Lepisosteus oculatus: one gene and its partners. The protein of the gene in region 1 binds, or shares a complex with, the protein of each later gene. Links are inferred from orthologs where the notes say so. Each region holds a gene or a part of one and is shown on either strand. Other genes may lie near its edges. The genes, in order: taf6, taf13, taf7 and taf4a.

Region 1 (7,736 bases):
TCCTGAGAAAGATGGGGAGAGACGTTTTAACAAACACCCTGGTCCTCCGACGAGCCTGCCACCAGACTATTACAGCTCTTAATAATTTTATTTTTTCCAGTGCCGTTAATACTCAGTCTATAAATGAAAACTGAACACAAAGACCCCCTTGAAAATACATTGCAGATCGGGAAACTTTTGAATGATTACACAGCACTTCAACCCTCACTACATAAGAGCAGTAGGATTACTAACCTTTAGCCTCTGCAGTTGTCGCTCCTTGACCTTTGCCCTGAATCTGCCCCTCCTCTTCCTGTCCGGGCTTCACGGCCTTGAGAGGTTCTGTAGACTCAGCCTTTTGCTGCTCTTTTGGTGCTGTGAGATAGGAGGAGGGCATGAGAGAAAGACAACCAGTGTTTCACAATCGTAAAATCTGATTAAACTAAAGGTGGCTACAGCTAGGGTCAGTGCCATACAAAAGTCAATGTTTGCTCATTTCCCACTGTCACTACAAAAAGCAGCAGTTTTGCGGGACTACAGATCCCAGCATCCTCTCACCTGGTGGCGGGTTCTCTGGGATGGCTGGCTGGACACCTTCAATGCTCAGCCAATGAGCTGCAAGACAGGCAAGATAATGAGTCATTGAGTAAGTCAGACTGTCTGTCAATTAGTCACTATGCAGGTCAGTCTGTTGATCGGCCATCTACCTTTCATCGACACATCCAGTGGCACCCGGGGAAGGGGCGTGTTGATGATGTCACTCAGGTCCACCTCCTTCTCCTCATAGAAGTGCAGCTCTCTGCCGCCTCCACTGGCAAAACGGAAGGGGATAAACTCCTGGGACTGGAACCCATACAGCGGCTGGAACACACACACACACAACACGCTATTATACGCAAACACAATACCACACACACTGCACATCTACTATAAAAACTGATAATTTCAGAAACTCAGGTCCTGTGTGAATGAGCATGGTGACAAACGCATGGCAATCCCTCGGTCTCACCTCCACATTCTTCAGCTTCAGGGCATAGTCGATGTCGCTTGTTGTCAGTTTGCGCCTCTTCCCATGATGCATGAATTTCAGCGCATCCTGAGGGCACGACAGAACTTGTCAGCCAATCACAGCCTAAACCACAAATTGGTCACCCATCACAGACAAACACATGTTACAAATAAATCACTTCCACTTCTGAAAGACAAACGGATGCAAGCATCAGAGAAAGGCACACAGACAGGCACAGGAAACAGGCTGACTAAGAGCTGGTGGTGCGTCTCAGTCATCCAGAAACAGAGGGTCAGTCTTGTGCTGGAGCGCAGTGGCGTGGGGGGTATGTGTGAGAGATGAACACAGACAGGCACAGATAAGACGGAGAGTCACCGACCTGAGCAATCTCCTTGATGCGGTAGCTGACCTCCTCGCTCAGGGCCAGGCAGGACTCCTCCTGCAGCTGTGACACCCCAACCGACTCAGCCATGGCCTTCATGGACTCGGTGGGCAGCACCGTCACACACTGCTTCTGCTTTCGCTCCTCTGCCATCTGGGAGAGAGAGATACATGGCACTGAACACCAACCGGAGGGACACCGGTTCTCTAGGTCTATCCCAGAATTCCCACACAAGGGACACTGCATGTACCTCAGTTCTGTACGTCTATCCCAGAATTCCCCCACAAGGGACACTGTCTGTACCTCAATTCTGTAAGTCTATCCCAGAGTTCCAACACAAGGGACACTGTCTGGACCTCAAATCTGTAAATCTATCCCAGAATTCCCACACAAGGGAAACTGTCTGTACGCCTGTTTTGTTAGTCTATCCCAGAATTCCCACACAAGGAACACTGTACCTCAGTTCTGTAAGTCTATCCCAGAATTCCCACACAGGGGACACTGTACCTCAGTTCTGTACGTCTATCCCAGAATTCCCTCACAGGGGACACTGTACCTCAGTTCTGTAGGTCTCAGAAATCTCTGCTGTTTTTGCTAGTGAAGTGGAACACAAATTCCTGGGAGAGTGTAAGTCTTATTGAGGATGTTTTTTTATGAGCAATTATTAAATAGTGCCTTTCACTAAAAATAGCACTTCTCAGAATACAAAAAAAAACACGAAAAAAAAGAACAAGAGATGAGGGCATAAAAAGGCTGTTGGTGTATAAAATGTCTTCAAAAAGATCAGCAGTGGTCGTTTCCTTGTTAATCCTGGGGAAGGAGCTGCAGAGGGGCCTGGTGCCGGAGTCCTGATGGAACGGTCTCCCATGCTGTAGGTGTTGGCTCCTGGTACGTACAGCAGGGCCCTCCAGCAGAACCCAAGCAGTCTTCAGTATCATATGGACTATTTTAAGCCCTACAAACAGGCTGCAAGATCTTATTATCAGCCTGAATAATAATAGCCCAACACTGGTTACCAGTATAGAGAAGCTAAAATCGGAGACGCGCGATCAAGCTCAAGCTTTTTATTTTCGATCTTGCTTAACAATGCGATACCCTATCCGGCCTCTGCAGAGACGCTTTCCAGAAACACCACAGCACTACACTGACTGAGCCATAGAAGTACCACCCTCCGTTACGCGAGAAAAGAGAAATAGTAGCACAACTGCAGACATGTAAAGGCAGAGTCTTAACCAGAGGCTCAGGAAGGTGGTCTCTCGTGGCAAAGTCAGAGATGTGGCCCCTCACAACAGTCCACCTATACTCTTGTGACGTCATCCATCGTATACGTCACGCTCCTTAGCTGAACCATCTAGCGCTTGAATTTAGCTGAATTCTGAGAGATTACTAACGCTGAAAGATACCATGGAAAACGCAAAAGAAAAGCTAAATATTGGCGTACTTAATCAGAAGCTTAGACCACATCAATCATACAGCGAGTCTGAAAGAGACGCGTTTACAAAACCGAGACACATAGTATTGCATTGTTGCTGCAGTACTTCTACTGCATGCTATAACATCAGCACTTCAAAGAATCACGTCGTGTTCTGTGAAATTTCAATTCCTGCCTCTCATGTGTTTTCTTGTTCATACATCTTACGGCTACTATCGTTATGTTTTGGTTTCCCGCATTTTCTTCGATTTCGCTTTACACATTCAGCAGAGTTCATGTTCCTTAACGCAGATGATAATCATACACCACTCACCTTTCATGTACTAACAACTGCAGAATCGGGCGTCTGAAGGAAAAAAAGCCCAGTATGAAATAATGTTTTTATTATTATTCCTCATGCCCCGACACTCTTTTCTGGAAATGCCGCCATCTTGATTTGGTTGGTGAGGACTTCCAGGTCCCTTACAGATACGTTACATCACATGAGTTGCTTTTTTCTTAGAAAGACTCAAATAATCATAGATATTATATGAATGTGATATATATTCGTCCATTAGAAATACATCTATGACTACAAAATCTTTGTTTTGGTTTGTCCTTTAATTTCTAATCGTATACCTCTTTAAGCTCTTTAAGCTTCCAGGACCTGTACTCTGCAAACAAAGTGTCAATGCGCAGACTCATTGCCAATCCCGTACCCACACATGCTAAAGTGCGCATGCTCTGTGCCCTCACTGTGCGGTTAGATATATTGATATGTCGATGTGGCTGTATCCCTCACAGTAGAACCGTAGTTTTATTTTTTTAGAAGAAGCTGTTTAAATAATGAAAATTATATTGCTCGCTGTGCTGTTTTTTCCTAGCTTTTCCGCTGGGGAGGAGGATGAGCGCTTGCCTAATAAATGCGAAGGTGAGTAAGGCACAGAGATTAGCTTTGCTGTCTCTCTGTCTTTAATTCAGTTGAAAGACGGGGATAGACAGCCCCTCCATTAAAATACTGGCAAATAATATCGCAATACAGTACTGTGCGTCCATTTACTTTACTGCTAGGGAAGAGTACAGCTGTGAAAAGTGTAACACACTGTAACAAGCTTTACTTTATACAGAAAAGTGTAAGGTTGGTAGTAGAGCCTTTTAAATCACCCAAACTGCATTTCAACAGGGATTTCCGTGACTCTGTAATTCTGGCCAATGTGTCAGTACTGCTGCGTCTGTGACTCTGTAGTTCTGGCCAGTGTGTCAGTGTTGATGTGTCTGTGTCTCTGTAGTTCTGGCCAGTGTGTCAGTGTTGATGTGTCTGTGTCTCTGTAGTTCTGGCCAGTGTGTCAGTACTGCTGTGTCTGTGACTCTGTAGTTCTGGCCAGTGTGTCAGTGTTGATGTGTCTGTGACTCTGTAGTTCTGGCTAGTGTGTCAGTACTGCTGTGTCTGTGACTCTAGTTCTGGCCAGTGTGTCAGTGTTGATGTGTCTGTGACTCTGTAGTTCTGGCCAGTGTGTCAGTGTTGATGTGTCTGTGTCTCTGTAGTTCTGGCCAGTGTGTCAGCACTGCTGTGTCTCTGTGTGTTTATGACCCACAGTCTGTAAGTTCCTGACAGTGGAGCTGCAGGCCTCCCTGGATAAGACAAGCCGGTCGAAGGAGGTGCTGGAGCTCGGCGAGGTGCTGGACACAGGGAAACGCAAACGCAAGATCAAATACAACACCTCGTGAGTACGGTGCTGACAGGGCGAAGGCTGGGGGGGGGCGGAGGTGATGGCGATTGAGCCCGAACCCCTTTCCTGATGGACACATTTGCTGTGCCCGTGTGCTGTGTGTGTACGTGTTCCCAGAGAGACGCGCCTGGCGGAGGCCATCGACAACATCTGCCAGGGCATCCTGGAGTACAACGTCCATGCCGAGAGGCCGGGCAGCCTGCGCTACGCCAAGGTCAGTCAGTGTCTGGTTAATAAACGCTGAAGGTCCTGCCCTCCCCTCTCTTGGTCTCACTTTCCGCTCCTGTCTCAGGGCACCAGTGAGACCATGATGACTCTGAAGAACCTGGTGAATAAGGGTGTGAAGGTGGAGCTGGGCCTCCCCTATGAGCTGTGGGACGAGCCTTCAGTGGAGGTGTCGGACATGAAGAAGCAGGTACCTACAGGGGGCGCTGTGGGCCGCATCACTGCGTTGTCTTTGTTTTTAGTCATCTTGTGTGGTTGTGGTATGTATTGCATGGTGTTGAAGGGTGTTCCTTTATTATAATGTGCTGCAGTTCCTTTGTGTGTCAACGTTGCAGTGGGTTATGATGATGATGGTACAGCATCGTGTCACTGTGTGTGTACTGGTGTTGTGTTGCTGGGGCAGTGTGAAGGTGTTGTACAGGACTGTGTCACTGCGTGTGGACTGGTGTTGTGTTGCTGGGGCAGAATGAGGGTGTTGTACAGGACTGTGTCACTGCGTGTGGACTGGTGTTGTGTTGCTGGAGCAGTATGAGGGTGTTGTACAGGACTGTGTCACTGTGTGTGGACTGGTGTTGTGTTGCTGGGGCAGTATGAGGGTGTTGTACAGGACTGTGTCAATGTGTGTGGACTGGTGTTGTGTTGCTGGAGCAGTATGAGGGTGTTGTACAGGACTGTGTCACTGCGTGTGGACTGGTGTTGTGTTGCTGGGGCAGAATGAGGGTGTTGTACAGGACTGTGTCACTGCGTGTGGACTGGTGTTGTGTTGCTGGGGCAGTATGAGGGTGTTGTACAGGACTGTGTCACTGCGTGTGGACTGGTGTTGTGTTGCTGGGGCAGAATGAGGGTGTTGTACAGGACTGTGTCACTGTGTGTGGACTGGTGTTGTGTTGCAGTGCGAGACGATGCTGGAGCAGTATGAAGATGTCGTGGAGGACTGGTATTTCCACCATCAGGACCAGCGACTGGAGACCTTCCTGTGTGAGAAACGCGTCCTCAAGGGCTCTGACATGGGTGAGAGCGCACACTGTCTCTTACAGACACTGCAGCATGCACGCGCCACAGCAGACTCTTGCCCAGAGGAACTCCAGGCCACTGCCACGCATTGACATGTGACCCCTCTCCCCTCTCCGGCAGGCTGCCTGAAGGAGATGTGGAAAGGCGACGTGGGGAAGAAGGGAACTCCGGATAAGAAGACCGCAAGCGCAGGCGGGAGAGGGCAAGAGAATACAGAGAAGGAGAGTGAGGGGGGCAGTGAGTCAGGGGCAGCACACACCTCACGGGATGCAGGGGAGCTCTGAGATGCTATGGGCCTTACATATTCTCAGGAATGTTATTATAGCCAGATGGATGGACTCTATCCCCAATATAAGCTCTGCTGCCAAACGCAAGGACTGGCTACACTGCCACATCAGAGACTGGATAAGTGTGTCATTTAACACTACAGCTACACGACAGCATTAATCACTCACTGGCTGCTGTGTCACCCAACGCTACAAATATGAGGAGGTGATTTTTGATTGCTCTCCTTTTTTTTAGGTGGGGTTTAATCCTGTCCTGAATGAACTAAACTGCTCATTTTAGACTTGCAGTTTAGACTTGAGTGAGCCAGAGCCAAACACAGTCCCTGTGATCGCTGTGAGATCTTGAAGGAGAGAGCTGCCGCTACCTTTTTCTGCAACCGCCTGTTACAGTTTTTAGTTAGCCTGTTTTTTTATTGTTACACTTCTTCTCATTTTGACTGAATGTCTTGAAAAGCAAAAGTTCCAAAACAGTAGTGTGAGGGGTTTTGGATTCTCTCTTTCAGTGCTGTGAGTATGAAACCTGGTTTTGGCTCCACTGTAGGTACTCCGGTGCAGTCAAAACTCTGCTCACCCCTGGTCATTGAATGCGGGTGCCAGTTCTTTTTTTTTCAGAAAGTGTAATCATGTGCTAAACGTAAAATTTTAAAAAGTGTTGCATTGCTGACTGAACTCTAATGATAATATCCATTCTAGTGCAGCAGGGGGCACAGGCTACCTGTGTGAGGTATTGGCTGTGATGAGCTCCTGTAAGGCTGTATAGAACAGCACCATATTGCTCAGTACAGTGATCTGTTGCACAGTGTGTTTGATTACAATTTTATATTCCGTTTTGGTACAGTCTTAGAGTTGATCAGTATAGTTCTGCTTTATATCATAAAAGTTCAGTCTGGTTTAGTGGAGTTAAATACCTAACCTTTCGTTTTTGTACACAATATTACCATATTATGTATGTGCTACAGTACAGCTGAGTTCAGTAGAATACAGTATGCTACATCTACTATCTGATCCAATATAGTTTTTTTTTTTTGCAGTGCAGCCTAGTGATTTACAACAGAATGCAGTGATACAGTATAAAAGTGCTATAATACAGTATTGTACAGTTCAATTTGAAGCAGAACAGCAGAGACCAGTAAAACTATGTAGTATAACTGTGTAAGATCCAGCAGAGTCACAGAAAACCTCAAACAAAACTGCAGCGCTGCACTGCATTCTACATCACAGTACAGGCCTGTCACTGTAAGACACGGGTACACAGCTCCTGCCCTGGAGACCTTCAGTCCTGCAGGTTTTAACAGATCTCCAGACCCAGAAGGACTGGAGAAAGACATTCAACAGGTCCAAGTAAGGCTGTCATTACCTCAGTTAGGAAGTGTGGAGTTTAGAAGGCTGAAAATGTATAGACTGTGCCCCTGCAGGTGAGTGGGTCTCTGCTGTGGTGCTTTTTTCCTGCCTGTTGCAGCAGCTCTTGTGATGAGGGACCGTGCTCTGTGGGCCCGTGGATCTGAACAGTTAGGACCTAACATTACAGGTCGTGTTCACTCCGAGAGCTGCCTGGGGTCACAGTTTTCAAGATACCCCCCCTTTTTATTAATCAGCCTTTAAATAAAACAAAAGCTGACTCTTGTCTTGTATTTGTTTTTCAGTGTTTTTAAGGTAAATGCTCTTTTTTGTATGACTTTTGTATTCTCATCCATTCTTA
Region 2 (7,516 bases), on another chromosome or scaffold:
GCCCTAGAGATTTGGTTTTGGAAACTAAGATCCATAATTAGCCTCATCAAAGGCCTTTCGGGCTCTTTTCAACTCTTCATTCATAGTCAGCAGATCCTTGACCCTCGCAAACTTTCTAGGATCTTTCCTGATGAGAAACACAATATCTTCAACTTGAACTCGACCTTGTCGCCCAATAGACATGGCTTTGTGCGTCTGTGAATTGAATAAGGAAAAACAGAAACGTCCATAAGTCTTCCACAAGCCAAAACTCACACTGAACAACAAATAAGCAACATGATCTGTCTATTTTGAACAGAAACTTTCATGATCAACTAATTAAAACACAATGTTTCTGTTACTATTATCTACATCTGGGGTGGAGAACACACTTTAAAACACATTACATTAATTACCTGAACAAGTCTTGCTTGAACTAACTAGTTGCTTGATTAAAAAAAATCAATTTTTTTCTCATCTTGCTTGGAATTTTATTTATGAAATGCAATAGTTCAAAGACAACCTCCAACATGTACAAGAGCTGAAAACAGTCACACAGGTCAAATTAATTCTGTTATTAAGTCAATTAAGGAGTTCAATTGTGTAGCAGACATCTCAGCTGGATCAGAACTTAGCATGTGTGTGGTCCTCTAGGAGTAGGACTGGAAAACACCGAACTAAATTATTCAGAAGTGCACTATATAGCACATGCTGTGGAGTTTTAGTACTGCAGAGAACAGATGTCTTCCACATGAGTAATATGAAGAATTTATTTACCCTTACAGAGGCCCCTGCTACAAGTGCAGGTTCCTAAATAAAGCAACTTGTAGCAAGAAAGAGGAATTAATATACATGAGGAATAATGTAATTAGCTTGAGATACATTCCTAACACAATCAGTTCAGACATGTATTTACATAAAATGTACCTAAAACCCATAAAAACAACAAATCAAAACTGATGAGACAAATGTTATTATTCTTACCAGGGAAATGGAATTGATATGTTGGAAAGTGGAAGTGTGACACATTGCCTCTTGTGAATAGAACTAAACCTCACACCAACACTTTTTTTTTCCCCATCAATTCCAACAAATATATAAAGATACGATATGTACATTCGCAGTGCGTTCAGAGGGCCACATCGCAGCACACTGCAGCGCCTGCCAGCCAGCCTACATTGCTGGGTTTTGGTTCATTGAAAAAGTGCATAATCGTGCGAACAAAATGAATATAGCTCCTTAATTAACTGATGAAGTACAGCTGAAGCAATGAATATTGATGCATATTACGGTGACTAATAACAGGGACCCTCTGTACCTCCATTTGCTTCCCAGAGCTCGACTAAATGAATGTTCTCATCTGCAAAGCTCACCCTTCGAACTCAGGCTCACACTGCTAGGCAGAACAGAGCAGCTGTGCTCACAACGTACCATTTCTGTGATGAACTCTATCACAAGATCCTCCAGAATGTCCACAGACTCGGTGTAGGGGTTCTGATCGTCCCCGAATCCATACATCATGCATCGAACTGCGTGTGAGGGAGATAATACCACACAAAACTGCAATTGAGGCTACAATTGTTAATGAAATGGCACACATTATTATTATTATTATTATTACTACATGAAGACAAAAGCAAGAGAGAAGATGATAAGAAAAAACAAGAACCCCCCAAAAAATAACATCAAAGTCTTGAAGTATGTAACTATCAACAAGGTACAGCACCTTTGAAAACACATTACGACTGCTGACGACTGCAGCAGGAGGGGAATTCTGATATGAAAAAGTACACTGGTACTACTCTGCATTTCGCAGTTTTATGATAAAAAGCTGAGGAAATTTCTATAATTTTGTTAGTTGTTTTTTACGTAAAAAATAGCTGAGGTAAATACTTCACGAATATTCCCATTAAGCAGAGGCCCCCAAAAATATTCTGTTGAAGCTTTAGAATTGTCCTGTTGACTAAAGCTGACAGCAGTAAAACGAGCCCTGACTGCTTTTTGGCAGAAAAGAGAAGGATGAAGCTTTAAATCGGGACATGCGTGTCTCGCGTATAAAACAAACAAGCTCCTGTGCCACGAGGCGACGTCAGAGGGAAGCCAATGGAAAATCTCACGTTCTTTGGAGAAGAGCCTTTTCCTTCTCCCATGACCCCCCTCTGCCCCGCTGCCTCCTTCCTCGACATCCTCCTCGAACTGCAAGACAGAGCGGAGCACGGGACCAGTTCACTTCCAGGAGGAAAATCACATTTCACACTGGAATTCCTGTCACTCTTAGTAAAGCACGGACAGAGCTCATCTGAAACACACACACACCACTGTAACACCTAAACGTTCTATACTCTTCTGTGGCCACCCCAGGCTTCTGCAGAGCCCAACTCCAGCAGGTGTTAGAGAGTCACCGGTTTAGTAAGAACTTAGAACACCGGAGTTTTCTTCAGTTGAGCCAATACTGTACATTAAGTGGTTCAGGAATGAACCACTGGCATCCCCAAGAACTATGGGGTGCAGGTATTTGGATTTCAGGTGATCTCTGAACTACATCGTTTCATAAATCACCGGCGTTAAGAGGTCAACCAGCTGCTGCAGATCTGTAATAAAAGACGGTGGCCTGGAGGGTTGGTCGAAAACTCCCCTTTCTTAATAAAAATCAAGGGTAGCGCTGCTTTGGCCACATCACTGCCTTCTGACTAAACATTTAAACGGGACTTGCATTATAAATACTAATAGGCGACTCATAAACGTGCACGAAAATTAAGCTTTTTGGAACATGTACAGACAGACAAATCCTTTCTGCCATGAAGCTCGCTGGTGGACACAACTTGCAGTTTCTAATTTGAGCCCGCTGTCTTTACACAAGCAATTAATTTATGGATCTTGTTTTTAAATTGAGCTTCAACATTCAGTCCAACCTAAATACAACATTTTCTTTTGTATTAAACCAGTACTGTTCTAAAATGAGCACTGCAGGGAAACAAAACATGAAATTCCAAATGCCGGTGTCGATGTGCATGAATATTGTCATCACCCCAGGACCAAGTACAATGAAACAAGCCCGGGCGAACTTTCACCTATGTCTCCCCCCGTCACTGAAGTAAGAGAAAGGAAATGAGCACTAGGCTCTATGAGGCTGGAATGAATCGAAGACATCACAAAAGTATCACAGAGCGTGAAAAGGCGAGAAAAAAGATAAATACACACCGCGGGGTCATCGTCGTCGTCGGCCATCCTAGATCCTACTAAAGCCGCAATTGTAGCGAATTGGTGTGCAGGGAGACGCAGAAAAAAATCGGGATTTTACAGGCTAAGACTGAAGCTTGAAGAGTGTGTGTAGTCAACCGCCAAAAACTGTACCGGTACTTTACCAAGGGAACAAATTTCTGCAGCTGTCCAGGGAACTACTAAAAACAAGCGCTGGGCGCTAGCGACCATTCACTTCCTGGGTCCCAGGTCATGTGACCTTCCGGTCAGATTATACCATTACAAACCGGAGCGCTTACTGACATTACATTCTTTAACCGTCACCTATTGCCAGAACTTAAATAGGTATAAACACAATTGTAGTAAAATACTTTACAAAACAAACTCCTAATCCGTTTCTGAGACATCTTTTGCACCCACGCCGATGGTTTTATCTACGCCGGCGTGAGGCGAGTGGACGAGTCCTGGTTGCGCAGATTCCCGCAGCTCTACGCAGATACTGCGCAGATTGGAAGACAAAACTGTTCTAAATGCAAAGCAGGATCAGGAGTCTCTACCCACGACTTTCCGATTAGTGCAGTCTTTTGAGTCCATCTCACTGTAGAGATCTACGAATGACCGATTAGGGGAATCGCTTTAATTACAATAATTAAGTTGGTAGCTAGCTGCAGAGGTCAGTTTGATTGAACGAGGTGCCTATAATGTGGACTTTCTTTTCATGACTTAAAAAATGTTTTTTAAAAATCTTTTCTCTTTAGAAGGCCAGTATTAATCACATAACATTAAGCGAATTGCAGTCCACAAACACTGTACACTTTCTCTGCATGCGGATGATGGTACAAATGCCGTAAAATGTCACGCTGTATAAATGCATAACCTGGCCGGATTTGGCTGGAAAAATAAAAGGAATAATGCCGGATTAAATGTAATTCTGGGTGAGCATTGTCTATGACTGTTCCTACCTATGGTCGCTACAGTTAGGAGAAACAGTGGTTAAACTGCGTATTCTCCAAGCTAGCAATGGTTACAATAAAGTCAACCAGATAATCCGTTTGCCGCCCTGCTCGTACCATCCAACGTGAACCATCGTCATCGTGTTTATTCTGGAATCGCTGTTGGGAAATTCCACCCCCTCGGTCGGCAGGAAGAAATCAGCTTTGAAGTGCGTGTGCGTGTAGCCCTGGTCTCTTCTTGGCCTGTGCGGAATGGGCTCGGCAGCTCCCACGCTGTTGCTGGAGTTTCAGTCACACCCACCGAGCCCAGCAGGGGGCGCCCGGAGAGACGCGTGATTCCCCTCAAGGGCCGGAGCCGGCGGGCCTCTCTGCAGACTTCTGCTCGTCCAATTAGGCGGTCAATGAGACCCTTGGTGAGGTAACTGAGGGTCTGGGTGGGAGGAAAACCAGGTATCTCACGCATCCCCCCCCGAAAGCGGAGCACCGTGCGAAAAACAGATGTGGTGCTTTCAAGTACCAGTTTTTATGTTTGCTAAATGCCAACAGCTTGCCTGGACAGGCCCTGGCTACCCAGCGGCCCTGTGCTGGACACAGCTGCGAGATAATGGAGACAAAACGGACGAGTATCGACACAGACAGACATCAGTCCGGGAGAGTAGTAGCTCTATCTAAAATAAAGTTATGTGTAGCACAGGGTGGTGTTCTTTTCATGTAATTGTACTGCGAATAGAATTATTATCCAGAATAAGCTAAACCCCAAGAGAACATTTCTTTTAAAACAAAGTTGTTTAATCTTTCGTACAGGGGTTACATTTGACATCAAGCCCAAAGATTTATAGTTCACATGAAACAACAGGGCCCGCGTTGAATAAGTATTAACTGCTTTCATAATGACATGAAAATACATTTAGATCCATACAGACTATTCTAAAACGTCCCTAGCATTAACAGAAGCGCAATTTTTTCCTCAAGCAGTGAAGACTAATCTAGAACAGGAACACCTAACCCGAGAATGCACAGTACACTGCAGTGCTAGCCCCTATATATTCAATTACCCAACATTCCTGGAAAACTAAAATTATGCTTAGTGTCCCCAAAAACTTTATAGGAAAGAGATGAAAGATTCAAATGTTCTTGTAGATTCACTGACGTCACTGCATCCAAGAGAATGGTACAGGTTAAACGGGTCTGCTATTGAACAGTGTGCACAGTTTGTACTTACCGGATACATGCTAGCAGACACAGGACACCTTAGCGACCTCTCTTGGATAGCCCTGACAACAACCTGAGGACAGCAGTATCCCAGCCTTGGGCATGGTAAAGATCGTTAATGACCCAGCATTATTAATGTGCCGCTAATCTATTGCCTGGTGGGGGGGGCTATCATTGGACCTGAGACCTGTTTTTGTGTCTCTGCTGTTCCCACAGGGTCAGCCGGTGCTGTACAATATAATTCTGTAAAGCCCTCTGTGGTCAACTGTTGCAAAGGGCGCTACAGCGAATGAAGATTGATTGATTGGTGAATTGATGGGTTGATACAATGTTCGTTTTTGGAGTAATTTTGTCTGTGGTCTTTATCACGATTAAAACCAGGCACACAAATGTAAACTGCCTCAATTCGAAAAGTTTGCACTATTTCATCTGTTGTCTGTATACCATGCACTTGCAGAAAAGGAGAAAAGGACAATCCTTAACGGGTATTTTTATGTAGAAAATACTTGATAAATGTTATGAAAAAGTCCCTTCATACTTCACCCTCTGTCCTCTTTCAGTACCAATGACATTACAGTACCAAATAAAATTATAGTATGTGAGGGGCTTAATTGCTCAAAAAAGCTATTTTTGAACAATGTGTAGAACACTAGTAGAAGTGACTAATGCAAAGCAACTATCATTCTAAATTTCAGTGAATGAAAATAGATTTGAAAAACATGGATACTGATGTGCACTTTATTATAGCTAGTAATTTTTATTGTTAAATACCTTAATAACCTTAAATGCTAAATATACTTATTTATGGAGAGTATTGATTTATCATCTTAAAAAAGTGTTTTAAGCAGACCCTTGAAACCCCAGTTCAGAAAGGCTCACACAAATGACCTTCGAAAAGCACAACAGCAGTGTCGCATTAATTTAAGAATTTAAGATTCATTTGTTTTATATAAACACAAATAAGGAAAAATGTATTCTTGTAATTAGAGTGGTAACGTCTCTCTAAAACTGGGTTACCATTTCTGTGTAATCGTTTTGCATGTTTTTAATTGGGCCTTTCTCAGTAGATCTTAGTGCTTGTAGTATTTAGTACTTTTTCTCCTCAATAAAAAGCAGAGGCAGAGAGTTGCAGAACAATTGGAAGGGTCAGCTCGCAAACAGATATAGCAAAGGTCCGCGTCCCGGTAGGAGCAGGAGATAAACTCGGTCTGATGCTCACAGTGCTAGACATTCAGCTCCAGGTTACAAAAAGTGATTCTAATGTGAGCGCCGCAAAGGAGCTCCCCTCGGGCTCAGCCCAGGCGGCCTCAGCCTACTTCTGAGAGCACTGGGAAGGGGGGGGGGGGCGGGCGCGGAGGGCGTCGCGAGAGGATGTTAGGAGTTGCTGGAGTTCTCCGTGAACGCGTTGGCCCCAAAGCCGGCAGAGTTCGCGGAAGGGAAGGGCGCGGCGTCGTCAGCGGTGCTGCCCTCCTCCTGCTTCCTCCCGCCGGCGGCTTCCTGGGAGGGGTTGCTGCCGGCGGTCCTGAAGCTGGGGTCGCTCCGGGCTTCGCTGTTCTGCAGGGGCAGCAGGGCCTTGTGCCTCATCAGGCTGTCGCCGCTGTCCTTGCCCTCCAGGGAGCTCTTCCTCCGGCTGTACCTGACGGCCACGGAATTCTTCCGGGGCTCCTCGAAGCTGAGAGAGAGCATCACCTTGCCACCGCCGAAGCTCACCGTCTGCTTGCAAGCCCTCTGCGGCCCCGCTGCGGGGAGGTCCTGGTCCTCGTTGCTCTTGAAGCTGATGGAGGACGAGGGCGTGGACACCGAGGAGCCGCCGACGCTGTTGGACCTCTTGCGCGAGACGGCGCTGCGCCGCAGCGTCGCCCGGGCCGCCACCTTGAAGGCGTGGGCCGCGGTGCTGCAGCGCACCTCCTCGATCGTGTTCCTGGATGGCTTGAAGAGGATGATGTAGACCTTGTTGAAGAAGATGCAGGCCAGGAGCCCGAAGCTGGAGGCCAAGATGGCGATGACCTCCACGGCCGACACAAACTTGCCGTAGGTGCTGACGTAGGCGGGGATGAAGGAGATCCAGACGATGAAGAAGATAAGCATGCTGAAGGTGATGAACTTGGCCTCGTTGAAGTTCTCTGGCAGTTTGCGGGACTTGAAGGCAAAGAAGAAGCAGACGGCGGCCA
Region 3 (8,533 bases), on another chromosome or scaffold:
GTTGTTTTACCCCAAGGGCTGATTCTGACACCTCCCTCATCTCTCCGGGTTCTAGGAGTCATTAGTGAAAGATTTCAGTTTCGTAAGACTACGGAGTTGCCTTTAATTTGAAATCCCCAAAATGTTTACTACATGCAGAGTAAACCTGTTCAATGTATGTAAGTGAAAGGTAAAACCACCTCTGGTTATGGAAAGGTTGTATTGTGTGCATGGATGAAAACGATGATGAAAAGTATGTTAACTGTTGGTGGCTCAGTCCATTCAAAGCTTTAAAGTGTTTAAATTGAATTTTAGTGTGAACATTCGACAGCGGGAAGCTCTCAAAATACACCTACAGTGTGACATTGTTTGCCCTGTTTCCATTTCAAATATAGAAAACTGAAATCGTACTGCTTGAAGTCAGTTTTTTTAGTTAGGTTTGATTTTTTTTTTAAAGTAACGTTCGTGCTGAATTCCTTGTTAAGCCATTCAGTGAGGTTTTTAGGATGTGAACTATGTTAATTTGAGTGAGAAAACAGACTCTATTGTGCTTTTTAGCCACTAAACAATCTAAGGCACCTCTTGCATAAAATTAACTAACAAAACACATACTGTATAAAGAAAAACTAATCATAGCTGAATTGCAGTTAAACAGCTTTCAGTTTTTATTAAAATCCTAAACTCTTATTTACAATAACAAGGTATCAAAAATTAAAGATTGTTTTTTAGAAAGGAACAATAAATATACACATTTGATTTATGACACCAAAGATTACAAGTGTGCTAAGCCATTACGCTTGTTAATACTGTAGTTTTCACGTATATAGCATTTGGGAACGGAGGAGATCAGTCCACCTGTCACATGTAAACAACCATACAGCTTCTCCAGAAAGCCACTGTAATTACACTTCTCCATGAAATCTCCTCCGGCCTCCAGCCAGACAAACTGCACACTGAGTAAAAGTGGAAGAATCTGTGCAGTGTGGAAAATCAACCCGTGGAACCTGTCCCTGCCACCAGTGAAAGGCACGAGGTGGTACACATGACCCCTGAATAGACGTGTACAATAACCTGGCTACTAGTCTCCAGTACTGCAGTTCATTGAATTACAGAATTCTCCAGAATTACGGCAATCCTACAGAAGTACTGAGAGTTGTGCAATTCAGAATTATACTAATTACTTATACTGTATAAACATATAAACGTGTATGAAATGATTGACACAAATGAATAATACTATATTAACCGTGTTCAACTTTCTGGACCTCAAGTTGTTAATTGCACCACTGGTAAAAATACATTTAAAAAGGCACCTATTCACGTGACAGTTAGTGAAAAAAGTTACTCTAGTGTTTTGTAGCTAAGCATTAACTTCAGCACAGAAAATTAAATTCTCTCAATTACAGTTTCCTAGACCTACATAGATCCTACTGTAAACCTTGGGATCAATAAGAACAAAAGACACTTAAAAAAGCCAGTGAGCTAATGAGCACAGTGCTGTGTGACGTGTCAGTCCTCTCCCCATTTTTATGCATCCTCCCATTTCAGTGCCACATGTTCTGCAAAGAATGGGAACAGAACTAGTTTTAATAGTGCAGACCTGTCAACCAGAGCCAGCGGCAAAGGAGAAGAGTTAAAAAAGATGATTCATGGGGAGTAAAAACGAAAGGAAAAGGAACAAGGATGGCAGTATGAAGTCCTGTGAAACAAGAGGGACTTTTGTGAGAGTAGTCATTTGCAGAGAGAGGGGGTTTTGCTTCCTTTTGGACGAGTACTGTATTTTAAAATATTTTAGAAGGATACTTCCTAGAAGGCACGGTATCCTTCCCAGATTCCGTTCTAAAAATATCTTCAAGACCCCGAATTATTATAAAACAACAACAACAGATGGGTGTTAAAAGGATCTGGCTCCACTGTTAGGTGACCGTGACGCTGCTGCTTCTCCTGGCTGCGCTGTCAGGAGAATGCCTCTTACTGCCTCCCTCCCTCAAAGGCTGTCCCCCAGGCGTTTCCGCCTCCTGGCTGGGCACGGGAATATAGGGCTGGCCCCAGGGGGCCCCTCTCTGGCCCCTGCGGAGGAAGAGTGGGAGGGCATCCCAGGTGAAACTGACGTCCTTGAAGGCGTGGAGGAGAAAGATGCCCACGATGATGGTGAGGAAGCCGCTGATCGTGCCCAAGATGCCGTCCGCGGACATTTGGAACCACTCCTTGAAGAGGATGGCGGAGCAGGCCATGACCGCGGTAGTGAAAAAGACGTAGTAGATGGGAGTGACGATGGACGTGTTGAAGATGTCCAGCGCCTTGTTCAGGTAGTTGATCTGCGTGCTGATGCAGGCCACCAGACACACCAGCAGCGCCCAGAACAGGGGCTCCTTCAGCACCGGCTTCCCCGCGAACAGCTCCTTCGCGCCGATCCCCAGCCCCTTCACACAGGACACGGAGAGGGAGCCGATCGCCGAACAGATGAAGATGTAGACCAGCACATTCTTCTGGCCGTAGCGCGGGGCCACGATGAAGATCAGGACCAGGCTGCTCACAACGACGCACGCGGCGAACACAATGAAACCTGCAACAGGCAGAAGACAGCAGTTCTGTTAAAGTGAATAATCTGAAAGAAAGAAATCGGGCGCTCGCTCGGCAGCGATCACAGCTTTCAACATCCAGCTTTTTGCATCCCACTTCAGCTTTCATCGCCGGCGTCTTCCTGTGGCTCAAGCCAAAACCAGACAGGGCTGTGATCACTGACCACTGCCGGTCACTTAAATCACAAACTTCAAACTTAATTTCAGCCCAGTGAATTCCGGAGGGCACATTCACCCCCGAGAGACTGTGCAGGTGTGTGACGTACCGGGATCTTTCAGCTTTTCCGCCATGGAGCTCAGGGAGTCCACTTCCTCCTCCTGTGGGGCATGGATGACCATCACGGTGGAGCCTAGGATGCACAGCAGACACCCGATCTTCCCGTGAACATTCAACCGCTCGTTGAGGAAATAGGAGGACAGCACAGCGCTGAGGAAACAGGAAGGGTGAGAGGGAGCTCTTGGACAAAAATGAAAAATGAAAGTGCTAGCACCTGTCAGAAATGTAACAATCTTTCTTGCATATCTGTATGTTATTAAGAACACAGGTCTTTTTGTGATGTGTTGTAAGTGACCCTTATTAGGATGGTTTGATGGAAGGTACCAAGACCATACTTGAAACAAATATCGGAAAAAAGACTTTTTTTTATCCAAGCGATTTACCACTGTTTTCATCAAAATGGCACACGGGTAAAAAAAATACACAGAGAAATCAAACAGCTTTTGCAGACTGAGCTCGTGTGTGTGTCCTGACTCACCTCACCAGGACGCTCAGGGCTCCCAGCGGCGTAACGAGCGTGGCCGGCGCAAAAGCGTAGGCCGCAAAATTCGCAGCCTCTCCCACCCCCACTGCAACACAAGAGGGCAGAGCAGGTCAGGAGGCACGCCAGGGCTTCTGCCATGAACACACTTTTGTTTTCAATCACAGTACTTTCTTTCAGAGGGTTTGGGCCTCCAGTCTCTGGCAGAACATGTGTCTCAAAGATTTCCAGATTAAAACAACGTACAGGTGAGCTGCAACGTCATGACCCGTTCATAAAAAAATGAAACACACCCGAGTATCTGGACATAACGCGCAGCACAGAGCAATGTGAGAGGAGAAGAGAGACGAAAATGGCAGAGAACCGAAGAGCCAGAATGGTTCTGATCTGGACATCCCTCCGGGTTGTCAAAGCACCACAGACCACCACTGGGTCAAGCGCTGGTTTAAACAAAACAAAGGCATGATCTTGGAAAGAAGTCTCTGCTGCTCAGACACGTCTTTCCGTAGCTCTTATTACAGTAAATCATAGTGGAAATGACATTCCTGAATGCTTTTGAAGAGTCTCGAAAATAAACTGTAGGACTTGTAGAACCCAAAAGGACACAGACTTCACGACTTACTTGAAATAAGTCCTGCCCACCACAGCCACTCCTTGAGGTAGGCGTGTCCTCCTTGGCCTGCACAGGGAAGGACAAAACAAAATGCCTTCATCTCCCAGTGTCTCCCGCTGAACTGCAGCTTATCACCACTGACAGCATCAGTAGCAGGAGTACAGGTATGTTTCCTTCAACACTTGTTTTAGCTCATGTCCAATACACCGACTGAACCAGTTTTTCAACGCAATCTGGTTTTCTGTGACAGGTACAAACAACAAAACTGGGAAACAAGTTCTCCAGCATCAACCGAAGAAACTCACAAGTGGGAAAAGACATTCCATTCCAACAATAATACGCCATATTTAAACACAAACACACTGCAAAGTGAACATCTTCCTAATTAAATAAATTTCATATTATCAACAATGTGAAATTTTAAAGAGATGCAAGAATGTCTCACATTTTCCCAAGATATGATGTAAATGGGTGCGACGTATGCTGTAACTCTTCCTGACCAGGTCACAGAAGGAAGTGACAATGACAAGATGACAGAAATGATACACGGTGAAAACACAACAGTCTAAGTTTCACATCAATGGTTCACTTCCCATTCAGGTACTGCTGTTTGCGTTTTACAGTGTGAGCAGTTACATTTGCTGGTTGTCTGAGTAGTGTACTGTGCCTTGGGATAACAAAACACTCTGCTCAAGTCATGTGATTGGTATTTGAGTTATTTTCGGAAAAAAACTACTTTAAAACTGGGCTCTATTAAACAGCCTGGAGAAACTGAAACAAAAGTTACACAAGGCACAGAGATTACAACGACGAATCATGCGATCTAACAGTAAAGTCGACAGTAAACGCAAGGACAGTGAGTCCCGATAAGGTAAGACACAGTCGCAGTGTGGACACGTACCCGCTCGCATTGACCCCTTACTGGCCAACCGGAGGAGCCCCTTCTTCTTCAGAATGAAACTGCCCCCAATAAAGACACTGGAGCAGATGGCCAGGGAGAGGCCGATGTAGAAATTCACTCGGCTCGCAGCATCGATATCCATCTGTTGACAAATGATTCAAGAAAGTCTGATACTGGAGAGAAATCACAGCTGAGCTGAGATTTAAAAAGAAAGAGAGAGAGAGACGCCTCGATCTAAAACTCAACAGCTCAGGTATGACTGTTTCGTATTACATTTCGTTTTACTGAAACCTATCTGGAGATTGAATGCAGCGTCGTTGAAACAGGTCAAAGTCAGTATCTGCTCGTTTGTTGAGGGTGAGGTTGAGGTTTTTTTTTCTAAAAAGCAATCCGTTAATTCAGTTCTTACTGTAGCTATAATTCAATTTTCCAAGACGTTTATGTGATGTCATGGGACAGCTTTGTCATAAAACAATAAGTTATTTGTAGAACATGTACATAATTCAATTAAACCTATTCTGTAATAGGGAAAAAAACAGGAATTTACCTTGCAATCGTGCCCATAGACGCCTGATACAGAGCTCTGTCACAGGCCGGGGAAACCGCAACTTCCTCCATCAACCCGTCCTCTCCGTCTGCAGGTCCCCCAGCTCCGGCTGCCCGGAACCTTTCTTTCTCCTCTTCTGCCGCGAAGCACCGTTTTGAGCTTTCTTCTATTTTAATTAAGTAATATTATCGCTGAAGACACCGGAATCCGTAAGGCAAAAGGCGTTTAACCGAACTGTTGACTTAGTGAATGTGAGCCGTATTAAAACGACGAGAGCAAGGCGGACCCTTTGGAGAGCGGGAGTTGTTGTTTACAGGTAGTCTTTTCAAGAGAGTATCCGGTTGTGTTGTTGTGGAGGAGGAGGTACAGTTGTTGTTGGTAAGTTCAGTACGTATTTCTTGCGGGATACAGTAAGATTATATTTATGATTTTATTTTGCTGCCTCTAACTATATGTAACATATTATTTTAATAGGAGCCAGGGTGGTGCCGTTTATATAGTTTGTTTTTTAGTTTACTTTATTCCCTGCACTATTTTTGAAAATTTGCATCAAAATCAATACGTTAGTTGAAGCACAAACAATAAACAACGATATCTCATATCTCCTAATCGCTTCTTTCTCTGCGTAATAAAAATATCAATTTTCTTTACAGAGGACTTCGTATAACGCAAGTGTTTATGCAGAATAAGAAGATCAAAATGACTTCCAAAGCAAAAGGTTCGACATTTCTTTCTGTGCACTTCGTTTACCTGTACATATTTATATCCGGATTTATTTAAATTTCGCTTAGATGGTGATGCTTAGTTAAGTCGATTTCATTACAAAAAGACGCCCTTAACTGTTGATGTCTTGATTTGTTCTCCTCCAGTGGGAAAGGCAGGCTCCAAAAACAAAGACGACGCGCCTCATGAGCTGGAGAGCCAGTTCATACTGCGGCTGCCCCCGGTACGGAACCTGAACCTCTCCGAGATCGGAGATGCCGAAATCGACCTCATGTAGTTTCCATTGAAACGTCCTCCTGTTTTTTTTTTTTTTTTTTTCATGTAGGAATACGCCTCCACGGTTCGGAGAGTAGTGCAGTCTGGTAGCGTCAATCTGAAAGACAGACTCACCATTGAACTGCACGGTTCGTACCCTGGAAGAGTTCCTCGATTGCTCAGATATTACGGGACTTAATCACTAATAACCGCATGTCTGGATGTTGCACTGGCTTCATCGTTCACTGGATCGCAACAAACAAACTGGGTCGAGATACAGACGGAATAATCTGGCATATTCGACCATTTTCTAGACCCGATTTAAGGGCTAAAAAAAACAACACCGAAATGACAGTTGTAATACATGTGTCCCTCTACGGCGTCCTTATTATATTAATAGTTCTTACAGTTAGGTAACTTGATATCTAGGTCAATTTCAGGTGTTAAGACACCATACTGTATGTACTTAAAGAATCCTACACCAGCTCCTGAAAATGTAAAGCTTGTTCTTATGTTATGGTGGTCATTTTATGAAGTCTTATTTCTTTCCCAGTTATGATCAGTTGAGTTTGTGTTAGAGAATGCATTTCTCTGAAGTTACAACAGCTTCAACAGTTGTGGCCATGTGCTTTCACGCATGATCTCAAAACGAATGACCCCTCTGTGCAGCTGACGGGCGCCATGGGATCGTGAGAGTGGATCGCGTTCCTCTGGCCTGCAAGCTGGTGGACCTCCCCTGCATTATAGAGTCTCTGAAGACAGTGGATAAGAAAACCTTTTATAAGACTGCAGATGTTTGTCAGGTAAGAACGAAACATTCAAAGGCATACTGTGAAAATTCATGTCTAGTTTTAAAATGTACACTTACTTTGATGCAATTAAGTTTTAAACTAAATTTCAATTTTATTAGGCTATATGCACAGTATTATTTTGGATCTGTTTTCCCTTATTTAAGTGTGATTGATTTTATTTGTTCTCCAATGTTTAATTGTAATTTTTCTGTAGCATTTTTTCACAAATCCTGGGAAGTAGTCCCTTCCTAGTTATCTATCTAGTTATTCAGTTATGAGTGGCTGACGCTCTTTGTGTTGAGCTGTTCAAATGAATATTGTATGTACACAGATGCTGGTGTGCACAGTGGATGGAGACCTGTACCCCCCTCTAGAGGAACCCACAGGAACTACAGAGCCCAAGAACAAGAAGAAAGACAAAGATAAAGACAAGAAGTTTATATGGAACCATGGCAGTGAGTATCCACCCTGCTCGCCTCGTTGCTTTAAAACGTGTTGTTCCTTGTTTTTTCAGAGGCAGTATTATAATGAGCCTGGTAACAAAATAGAGTTTAAATACTTTGAAATTAAGTTTCAAATACGAGACTTAAGATGTACTGTAGCAAGGCAGTATTTTTTCTTTCGTTAGCAGTAGTTCTTCTGTGGGTTTATGCAGGTAGGTGGATGTGTTTGCGCTGAGCCTTTTCAGAGCTTCCTGAAGATTTTCAAGTGACTGTGAACGGCTGTGTCCATATGAACAATAATAGTCGTCTTTGGTTTTACTGTCTAGTCACTCATCCCTTGAAAAACACCAGGAAGAGAAGATTCAGGAAAACTGCTAAGAAAAAGGTAAAATTTAATGTAAAATACCCCCAAAATCTTAAAGCTATGTCAAGACTATACCCATGTTGTAGGTATATTGAGAGGCTCTTGAGATATTTGTTCTCTGGTATAGATTTTATGAAAAGTGTAATAAATCAGGCACACTGGAATAATCAAATATGTATTAATGATGGCAATAACACACTAAGAACACGCAACACAAAATGCAACATACACTTTACTCTATTTACAAACAAGGTGTATCGAAGGCCTTCATCCTGACCAGCCAAAAGAACTGCCAAATATTCAAATCCTGTATAATGTCTAACAGGCCAAAAAGAGATATAAACCCGTCCTCTTAATCAAACAGAATATGACCTACAGTTAAATCTATATCTTTGTAACTCTGGATAATACAAATTTAATGGGAGCCTGAAGTAAATACATCCACTCACCAGGAGAAACTGTACAGAGGGATTCTCTGTACAGGAAATTCATGTTGAATGGTCAGCTCTCTCAACAAGGTTCAGATATGTAACTCAATCCTGGTTTTAAAGTCTCATCGGGACAAGGGCCTCCTGGC
Region 4 (8,206 bases), on another chromosome or scaffold:
ATATTGTCCTGAACTGTGCAAACCCATTCAGTCACCATTACCTCAAACTAAGAGCTCAACACTCAGTGGCACTCACCCAAGCCCAGTGCTGCTGCATACTGCTGATTGAGCAAAGAGCTTGCTGCTAACTGGCTGTATGTGGGCATCATACTTCTGTAGGGGCTGAAGGGAACCTGGTGCTGGTAAGAGGCTGATGATCCACTAAGTGACGACTGCAAAATGAAGAACACAGCTATACGTTTAGATTAAATGCTAAATGATAAAAAAACATTTTCAATAAAGCACTTAAAAATGCATTAACACATCAAAAATTGCATTATTCGTATAAACTTTGGATGTCTGACGTGCAATGTTATTGAAAGCCATTGCATATTAATGACACCCAACAGTACAGTTATTCGAACAATAAGCAGAATCAGGCGCACAAACTTCGGCCACGAACAAGTCGCGTCCCACATACTTGCACAATCGCCGGGTCCTGGGGTAAGGCATGGAGAGGCTTCGGAGGCTCGCACACCGTTATGTCTTTAATATCACTTCCCCTGAAGATGATGTACTCGTAGATCTCGTCCCTGGGAGGCACTGGTCTATCTGTAGGGCGGCCCTCCGTCCCGAAGGATCGCACTAATCCAGGGAAGGACAAATGGCATTAAGACCGTCGGTTCCCACTTCATTACTTACACACAGGTAACAGGCTAGCACCTAACTCCTAAAATAATGACTATCCCGAAGTAACATTCTTAAGAACCAGAACTTTTTCTTGCTTTTACGCCGGTAAAACAATCTTTAACTTGCGAACTAGTCTCTTAAAAGAGATTCAAAGGTACCGAAAGGTAACTGGTTACTGGCGCCACCACCTCAAACGAGGATACAAACACCCCGCCTCTCAAACACAATCATTTCACGGGCACCTAAGAGCGTCTCTGTTACATCTCCTATAAATAAACACGAATAAAAAGGTTTGTAAGTTTCCACTGGAAGAAGGAAAGCAACTGGTACTCACCTTTAGCTAACGCCACGGTCGAGTTCTCCGTATCTATGGTGTACAAAATACCCTCATATCGGATCTGGGCCTTGGATATGAGGCCAATTTTGCTACCAAGGTAAGGTGTTCCGGTACTCATGGCCGGTATATATGTACTTCCTTTACCAACTTGTAATTTTCAAAGGAGATTTTTTTTTTCCTCCACTCCTACGTTCGATCTTTAATTGTAGCAATGTTAACTTGTTAAGAACACCGATCTTAAACATCAAACTCAGCCGAGTGATCCGCCGCCCCATCTCGCACGGTTTTATAGAGAATTCGGCAGAAGAGGCTGAAAACAATCTATCAATCAGACAGTCAGACAGACAGACAGACAGAGGGTGCCCCCTGCCGTTTGGAAGACAGAAGTAAAGACTCTAGTAATGTTTCGCGTTTTGCTCAATGTCGTAACCCCCAACTTTGCACTTGAGCCGTAATGCGGTATGTTGGCTATTGGCCCTTTTAACGATTAACTGTAGAGCAAAGATCCAAGGACAGCGTTAAGAGGAATTGCATTTAGGACAGAAACTAGCTGCTACTTCTTTACACAAAGCGTTGTGAAGATCTGTTACACAGCTAATAAATATTTCCTTACATTTATATAGCTCTTTGCTGGGCACTCCACTCAAAACGCTTTACAGATAATGGGAACTCCCCTCCACCACCAGCAAAAGTGATGGCAGACACATATCAGCTATGGAAGAGAACACAGTAATAAAGCCAATTCATAGATGGGGATTATCAAGAGGCAATGATTTGATAAAGGCTGGGTGGATTTTTGGCCAGGACACCAGGTTAATATGCCTACTCTTTTCATGAAGCGCCCTGAGATTTTTAATGACCACAGAGATTTAGGACCTTGGTTTTACATCTCATCCAAAGGAAGACGCCCTTTTACAGTCTAGCGTCCCCGACGCTATACTGAGGCATTAGCACCCACACAGGATGCAGTGTGAGTGCTCCCTACTGGTCCCAATAACACCTTTTCCAGCTTTCCCAGAAGGTCTCCCATCCAGGTATTGGCCAGTCTCAAACTTGTGGTTTGCCAGCTGTGCGTTGCAGGGTGATCTAGCTGGTATCTATAGCTGCCTCTACACGGAGTTGAAACACATTTCCCGATTCCTTATGAAAAGGATTTATGAAATCCCTTGGTAAATAGTAAGATGTTATCACCTAAGACAAATCAAACTGACTCCTAGCCTTTTTTAACCTCAATGTGTAATGGAGTTCTTCAATACAATTAAAATGTCTTAGACATTCATATTAACACTCCCAGTCTCACTGAGTAAATTGTATTCACACCATTTTCCTCTGCATGTAGGGAGATTTAGGGAGATGGTCGATGGCACAAAAAGATAGAGAACGAGTTTTAGAGAACCGCTCAGATTTTATAAGTCTCATTTTATGTATTGGTGACTCCACTGTAACTACTACATGACTTACTATGTAAGTATACATGTATAATAAGAATCTGCATCTCCTCCATCCATGTAATTTTTTTTATATAGCCAGCACCTACATTACTCTGCAACTCACAACTGACAACCCACTGAAGCTCAGCAGGTGTGAGCCTGGTCAGTACCTGGATGGGAGACCTCCTGGGAAAAACTAAGGTTGCTGCTGGAAGAGGTGTTAGTGGGGACAGCAGGGGTACTCACCCTGTGGTCCATGTGGGTCCTAATGCCCCAGTATAGTGACAGGGAGACTATACTGTAAAACAGGCACTGTCCTTTGGATGAGATGTAAAACTGAGGTCCTGACTCTCTGTGGTCAGTATAAATCTCAGGGCATTTCTTAAACAGGTTGGGGTGTAACCCTGCCCAAATTTCTCATTTGTCTCCTAATAATCCCCAGTAAATTGGCTTCATTACTCTGCTCTCCTCCCCACTGATAGCTGGTGTGTGGCGAGTATACTGGTGCACCATGGCTGCCATCACATCATCCAGGTGGATGCTGCACATTGGTGGTGGTGGAGGGGAGTCCCCATTACCTGCAAAGCACTTTGAGTGTCCAGAAAAGCACTAAGTGTAAGATAATTATTAGTGAAAAGGCACCAATCTGGTGTCAACTCTGTTAAAAGACAGATGACAATGCTAGGCGTGTTTGAGATCAAATAAGTATATACCTTTAGGGATAAAATGGACAAGCAGCCTTTCAGGTGTGTGTTTAGCAAACAAACAGTGAAAGATACACGACAACCAGTAAAAAACATTTTAAAGGGCTACAACATATTGAAGGAGAGACAGCTCACAGGAGAGAATACACCTATGTAATCCACGTGCTCTGTACATTTTCAGCTTCTTAGCAGGTTAGTTGCATATGATCTTGATTTTCAGTGTAGCTTATTCCAGTCCTGCTTCCTCTGGCAATGTCTTGTTATACAGACAATACACATCAAACCTGCGCTGAAAGATAAATATATTGAAGTTGCAGAACCCATTAAAAGTTCAAATTTTGACAAACAAAAAACCAGTGCACATTATTTTACCCCATATATCATTGCCAACCGATTCAGCTGAGGCTCTTATGCATTGCAATTTAAATTCAGACATTCATCTTCTTACTGCATTTAGCTTGTTTCCTGTATGACAATTTTATAAACAGTCCTGGTTAAGTGTCTAAGCAAATCAAGGAATAAAAAAATAAATAAAAAAGTGGTGTAAGCAAAAACATACCCGTTAATAAATTAACAATACAATAATCACAACAGTACAAGATAACTCATTTTATGTGGATTTATTTGTATGACAATTTTGTCCAAAGCGATCTACAAGAGGAAATGAAACATTACAAATCTTAATTAAATTTATACAAAATGTACAAATTCACACTGCAGGGGGAAAAAACCGAGCAGAATACGTGCTGCGAATTGGGGGCGTGAGCATTTTGAATAGATGGGAAGCAGGACGTACAGCTACAGCTTGAAGAGGTCGAACAAACGGAGAGAAAGGAGCAGCCCTTATTTTTACTAGGACTGGGAAATGATTCGGCTTCGAACAAGGGCTAAAGGAACTTTAAAGTCAGACACGGGAGACTGTCAAATCGACACCCCGAAAAGCCTGGCCGTGCTTCTCAGGTCGTAAATGGGAGCACAGGATAAAACCCAAGTTTTCCTCGGATGAAGCGTCTAGCTTGGGTACTGCCACCTTTCACTAACGCTTCACATCTCCGCTACGCGGGTGTAGCATCTCGGAGTCACGGTCTGTAAATAGTCTGTTTCATACAATGACAGTTGCACTGACATAAATATACTTTCCCCTTTTGTTTAGTGGCGGAGTGCAAGAATTCATTTATCAACAAACAAAGCCAGCCATGCCCTCTTACACTACCGCAACACAGGTCAGATACGATTCAAACAAAAAAAAATAATCAGTTCCGGTCTAATAAAGGAAACCGCTTCTAACTCGCACCCACCGCTGAAATACACTTTACAGTATTACAAGATAACCCCCCAGTAGTCTCGACAGCATGTACTACACGCTCTTGGCAGCACTCTCAGGTGTGGCGCCCTCACACACTCTCTGAACTTACTGAACAAAAACAACGCAGCCATCTTGAAACGCAAGTACAAAAAGCCGAAGCGCCAAAACAGAAAGTCTCTTCGATTTTTGCCAGATTCACAACTCCAAACCAGCATTAAAGACTCATAAACATCACTGCCTGTAATTTCCAGTTGGGTCCGTTATTTGCGTTAAAAAGTAACGCGGACACAGCAGCTTAATACTATTATACTTAAACCCCACCAGCTCCTCAACCGACGGTGCTGTATCATCCTCTACTTTCTCGATAATGACGCTTTCAGCCATTTGTCCCGCCCTTTAAATCTGGAAACAACCAATCAGAATACGCCGGAATCCCTATCCCGGTGACGTTTCACACCATTCGCGCGTGCGTGAGGCCGGGTAACCCCCCCTCAGCTCATAGCAGAGTAAGATGGCGGCGGGCTCCGATTTGCTGGATGAGGTTTTCTTCAACACAGAGGTGGACGAGAAAGTAGTTAGCGATCTGGTGGGGTCCCTGGAGTCTGAGCTAACCGGCTCGGGTCACGGGAACACCGACATAAGAGGTCAGGCGGTGGGGAACCACATTGCAAGCCCTGGGGTAGGAGGCAATGCCAGTGTCCAGGAGAGCAAATTGGGACTTGCACAAGATCTGGCAAAAGCAGGTAATGTAACATAGTAAACGTTGTTTTGGTTTTTTTCTTTTCTGTTTCCGAAAGAGAAAATGTAAACGAATGCATTCATTGCCATGCCTTCCAATGTGCTGTGATATTTTTCCCTCTCACTCTGGTTTGTTTCCGTTCCAACAGGGGCTGGAGTGCAAGGGGGTGTTATTAATAATACGAGGTCCCAGGGTTCAGATATGGATGCAACGACAGGGATCACATCATCGGCGGGGTCGGAGGCATCAGTGGGGCTCAGCCAAGGCAAAACTGTGGCTGTCAGTGCCATGGTAACCGCTGTGCCCAACCACGGAGCGGGCAACGGGAAAATCGGGACGTCTGCGGTGCAAACTTTGAATGGGAGTAATGTAGTAATGAACTCTCACAATTCAGGAAGTGCCGCTGTTTTCCCCGGGACGCCAGTATCAAGTGCTACGACTTGCAGCAGCAGCAGCAGCACTGCACCTGCTGTCACAGTTGTCAACAACGGACCTGGATCGGTTGTGAAAGGAAATGTAAACGCTGTTTTGCCTTCAGCCTCAAGCACTGTTATACAGACCTCTTTCGTGAACGCGCAGAATGTTGTTACTTCGACAGTGATCTCGTCTCAGGCGACAAGTTTGGGAAGCGGACCTACAGTGACTCTAGTGCGGCCTCCGATGCACACGACCGGACCGGGTACGACGCAGAATGGGAGTACGAACAGTACGGTCCTGACTTCGGCGGTCAGTGTAGCGAGCCTGCCCGCCCCGGTGGGATCTGGAATATCTTTACAGGCTCCGCTTTTAAACAGCAGCCCGTCGCCCGTGAGCGCCGGGGCGCAGGTGATCAAGTCGGAGTCCCCCAAAACTATCATCCAGACTACAGCGCAGGCAGTTGCGCCCGGTGTGGTGGCGAACGCCGGTAACTTGACTCTTGGTCAGCCTATGCAAAACGCCCTGCAGCCAGGACCTCCACCGCAGCCCAGTTCGGCCGCGGCTATCGGGAAGAGTCCGGTCTTGCAGAATGTAGCCAGGACTTCCACTCCGGGAGCAGTCGTGCCCGGTCCGGTCGGAATACGGACTATAGCTCCGCAGGTGTTGGCTCCCCGCCTGCCCCACGCACCGCAGAATCAGCCAAATATCCAGAACATCCAGCTGCCTCCAGGTAAGCCTTTAAAAGTTTGTTTTTATTATTGAACACACCAGCAATTCTAGGGGTTTTTTTCCCCTTGAAGAACTTTTAAGAGCTGTCCTTAATTCTAGACAGGATCCTAACTCCTTCATAACTTAATAGGGACTGAATCGCTTTTAGTTCATGATTAGCTCAGCGTCTGAAGCCCAAGACAAATTTCATACACACGCTGTGTAATTATAGTCACGGTCTTGCTCGAGTAAGTCAAGAGATTGCACTTTTTTTTTTTACCTTTTATCTTTCTCGATCATGTCGGTCGTTTTATTTTCATGAACGATAATGTGCGTCTCAAGAAGAGCGTCTGCTGATGCCCCTTTCGGATAAGTCTGTGAATATGTGTAATTTTAAAGTTAGGGAACTGAAAAAAAGCTTATTTATAGCCTAAAGACCGAAAAGCTAAGCTGGTATCCAAACGTTTTTGGTTCCAATGTGTACGTTTTATTAAGTACTCCGACTTTCTTTCCTTCTTAAAGTGGCTGCTGCCACTACAACCTAGCAAGTAGAAAGTTTGGCTTGGCAAGTCCTTAAACCGTGACAATTGATGAAATATAAACAAAGACAATGTATTTTGAAGTTTGTAGAGCAAAGGTCATTATTGCACGTTAACTGTGTGTAACAATCAAAATACAGCAGCTATTCATAAACCCGTTACGTGAATCTATCCAAAGCTGAGGCTGGTGTTTCTCTCTTGGAGAACTTTTCAGGAGAGAGGAAGTTTGAGCAGGAACTTTGCAACTTATCACTTTGCAAGATAAACCTCTCAGTAAACATAAATGGCAGTTTAATTTAACAATGTAGTAGTAATAAATGACTCACAAACTGTTAGAATCAGTAACACAGGTGGCAGAAACAGTGATGACTGACAGAAGCAGTCCTCTGTGTGAGGTGTTTATTTTACACTAGTAGACATGACTGAAGTTACCCTGTGTCCTCTGAGCTAATCAGTGTTCCTAGGACCTCTTGTGCCTTAGACAGAAAAGTGAATACTGTATTATTTGTCTGTATGTGTGTTTGTTTTTACTTTCTTCGGTCCTTTAAAATCTAAAGTGTTTAAAAGCTGCTTGTTGCCATTGCTCTAAAGAGATTAATGATTACAGTGAGAAAAAGTATTCAAAAGAGGTATGTAGGCCTTATGTGTAGTTAGCTCCACTGTGAAGAAAGTTTTTAACAGTAATTCAAAACCACAGTTAGTCTAGTTACTGCATCTGCTGGTTTTGTTCATTTTATTAACAATCTGCATACCTTCGTGAACAGTTAGCCCACACAGAGGCACTGACAGATTGCTTCGGTGGTCTCTGATTTTGTACCTAACTATGACTATTAAGCATGAAGGAGGCTTAATTTCAAGCAAGTTGTTGCCGTTGTTAAACTAAAGTCTGGATTAGCTGGTGTAAAAACGAAGTTCATGTATAAAGGGTTGTTTAATCCACCGACGTAAAAAAGAATAAAGTTGTTGGTGGCTATGCTAAACGCTCCAGCTCAGAAATTGTGGTGGAAGAAGATGTGATTTCAAACTGCCAGGCACACTTACTACTTCACAACTTCACAGCACTCGGGCTATATATTCACTTCTCTTTATTTATAATAGTGCAAAGTAGGCCTGAGATATCCCTACATTGAATACTTCCTTTCTTTCTTATCCATCTCCCTGGGATATCAAAATACTGAGCTCAAGTCGTGTGATTCCAAAAAGTGCTAGGTGCTAGGTGACAGCGGAGTAAGAAGTGTCAATACTATATGATTTAGAATGGGTTTAAGTAGCAATGCAATACGATGATTTTAGTACCTGTAAGTAAAAGATATAACCGTGCCCCGATTAGGGGATGAAGATTACCCGATTGTGTCAG

What was found.
Region 2: taf6 (region 1) and taf13 share a complex: the UniProt entries of both Homo sapiens proteins name them as parts of the TFIID basal transcription factor complex. The link is inferred for Lepisosteus oculatus from reciprocal best matches to the Homo sapiens genes TAF6 and TAF13.
Region 3: taf6 (region 1) and taf7 share a complex: the UniProt entries of both Homo sapiens proteins name them as parts of the TFIID basal transcription factor complex. The link is inferred for Lepisosteus oculatus from reciprocal best matches to the Homo sapiens genes TAF6 and TAF7.
Region 4: taf6 (region 1) and taf4a share a complex: the UniProt entries of both Homo sapiens proteins name them as parts of the TFIID basal transcription factor complex. The link is inferred for Lepisosteus oculatus from reciprocal best matches to the Homo sapiens genes TAF6 and TAF4.

What each region holds. Positions count from the first base shown.
Region 1 is NC_090698.1:7,387,855-7,395,590, reverse strand, and holds the start of taf6 (transcription initiation factor TFIID subunit 6), read right to left. Parts: upstream 3,242-7,736; 5' UTR 3,116-3,241; intron 1,524-3,115; coding exon 1,368-1,523; intron 1,076-1,367; coding exon 989-1,075; intron 841-988; coding exon 687-840; intron 595-686; coding exon 538-594; intron 355-537; coding exon 235-354; intron 3-234; coding exon 1-2. Other genes in the region: cnpy4 (protein canopy 4), read left to right, coding at 3,628-3,712, 4,379-4,505, 4,629-4,725, 4,804-4,926, 5,630-5,747, 5,871-6,034. UniProt on the Homo sapiens protein: The TFIID basal transcription factor complex plays a major role in the initiation of RNA polymerase II (Pol II)-dependent transcription.
Region 2 is NC_090700.1:3,894,289-3,901,804, forward strand, and holds the start of taf13 (transcription initiation factor TFIID subunit 13), read right to left. Parts: upstream 3,445-7,516; 5' UTR 3,208-3,444; coding exon 3,181-3,207; intron 2,176-3,180; coding exon 2,097-2,175; intron 1,509-2,096; coding exon 1,411-1,508; intron 196-1,410; coding exon 25-195; 3' UTR 1-24. Other genes in the region: casr (extracellular calcium-sensing receptor), read right to left, coding at 6,720-7,516. UniProt on the Homo sapiens protein: The TFIID basal transcription factor complex plays a major role in the initiation of RNA polymerase II (Pol II)-dependent transcription.
Region 3 is NC_090703.1:50,849,707-50,858,239, reverse strand, and holds the start of taf7 (transcription initiation factor TFIID subunit 7), read left to right. Parts: upstream 1-4,989; 5' UTR 4,990-5,086; intron 5,087-5,380; exon of another isoform or gene 5,381-5,587; intron 5,588-5,668; exon of another isoform or gene 5,669-5,758; intron 5,759-6,033; 5' UTR 6,034-6,058; coding exon 6,059-6,098; intron 6,099-6,249; coding exon 6,250-6,326; intron 6,327-6,428; coding exon 6,429-6,507; intron 6,508-7,027; coding exon 7,028-7,161; intron 7,162-7,480; coding exon 7,481-7,604; intron 7,605-7,918; coding exon 7,919-7,977; intron 7,978-8,533. Other genes in the region: magnesium transporter NIPA2, read right to left, coding at 1,896-2,545, 2,828-2,988, 3,317-3,407, 3,942-3,998, 4,834-4,975. UniProt on the Homo sapiens protein: The TFIID basal transcription factor complex plays a major role in the initiation of RNA polymerase II (Pol II)-dependent transcription.
Region 4 is NC_090711.1:8,523,923-8,532,128, reverse strand, and holds the start of taf4a (transcription initiation factor TFIID subunit 4), read left to right. Parts: upstream 1-4,937; 5' UTR 4,938-4,957; coding exon 4,958-5,189; intron 5,190-5,333; coding exon 5,334-6,332; intron 6,333-8,206. Other genes in the region: lsm14b (protein LSM14 homolog B), read right to left, coding at 77-212, 461-624, 1,004-1,124. UniProt on the Homo sapiens protein: The TFIID basal transcription factor complex plays a major role in the initiation of RNA polymerase II (Pol II)-dependent transcription.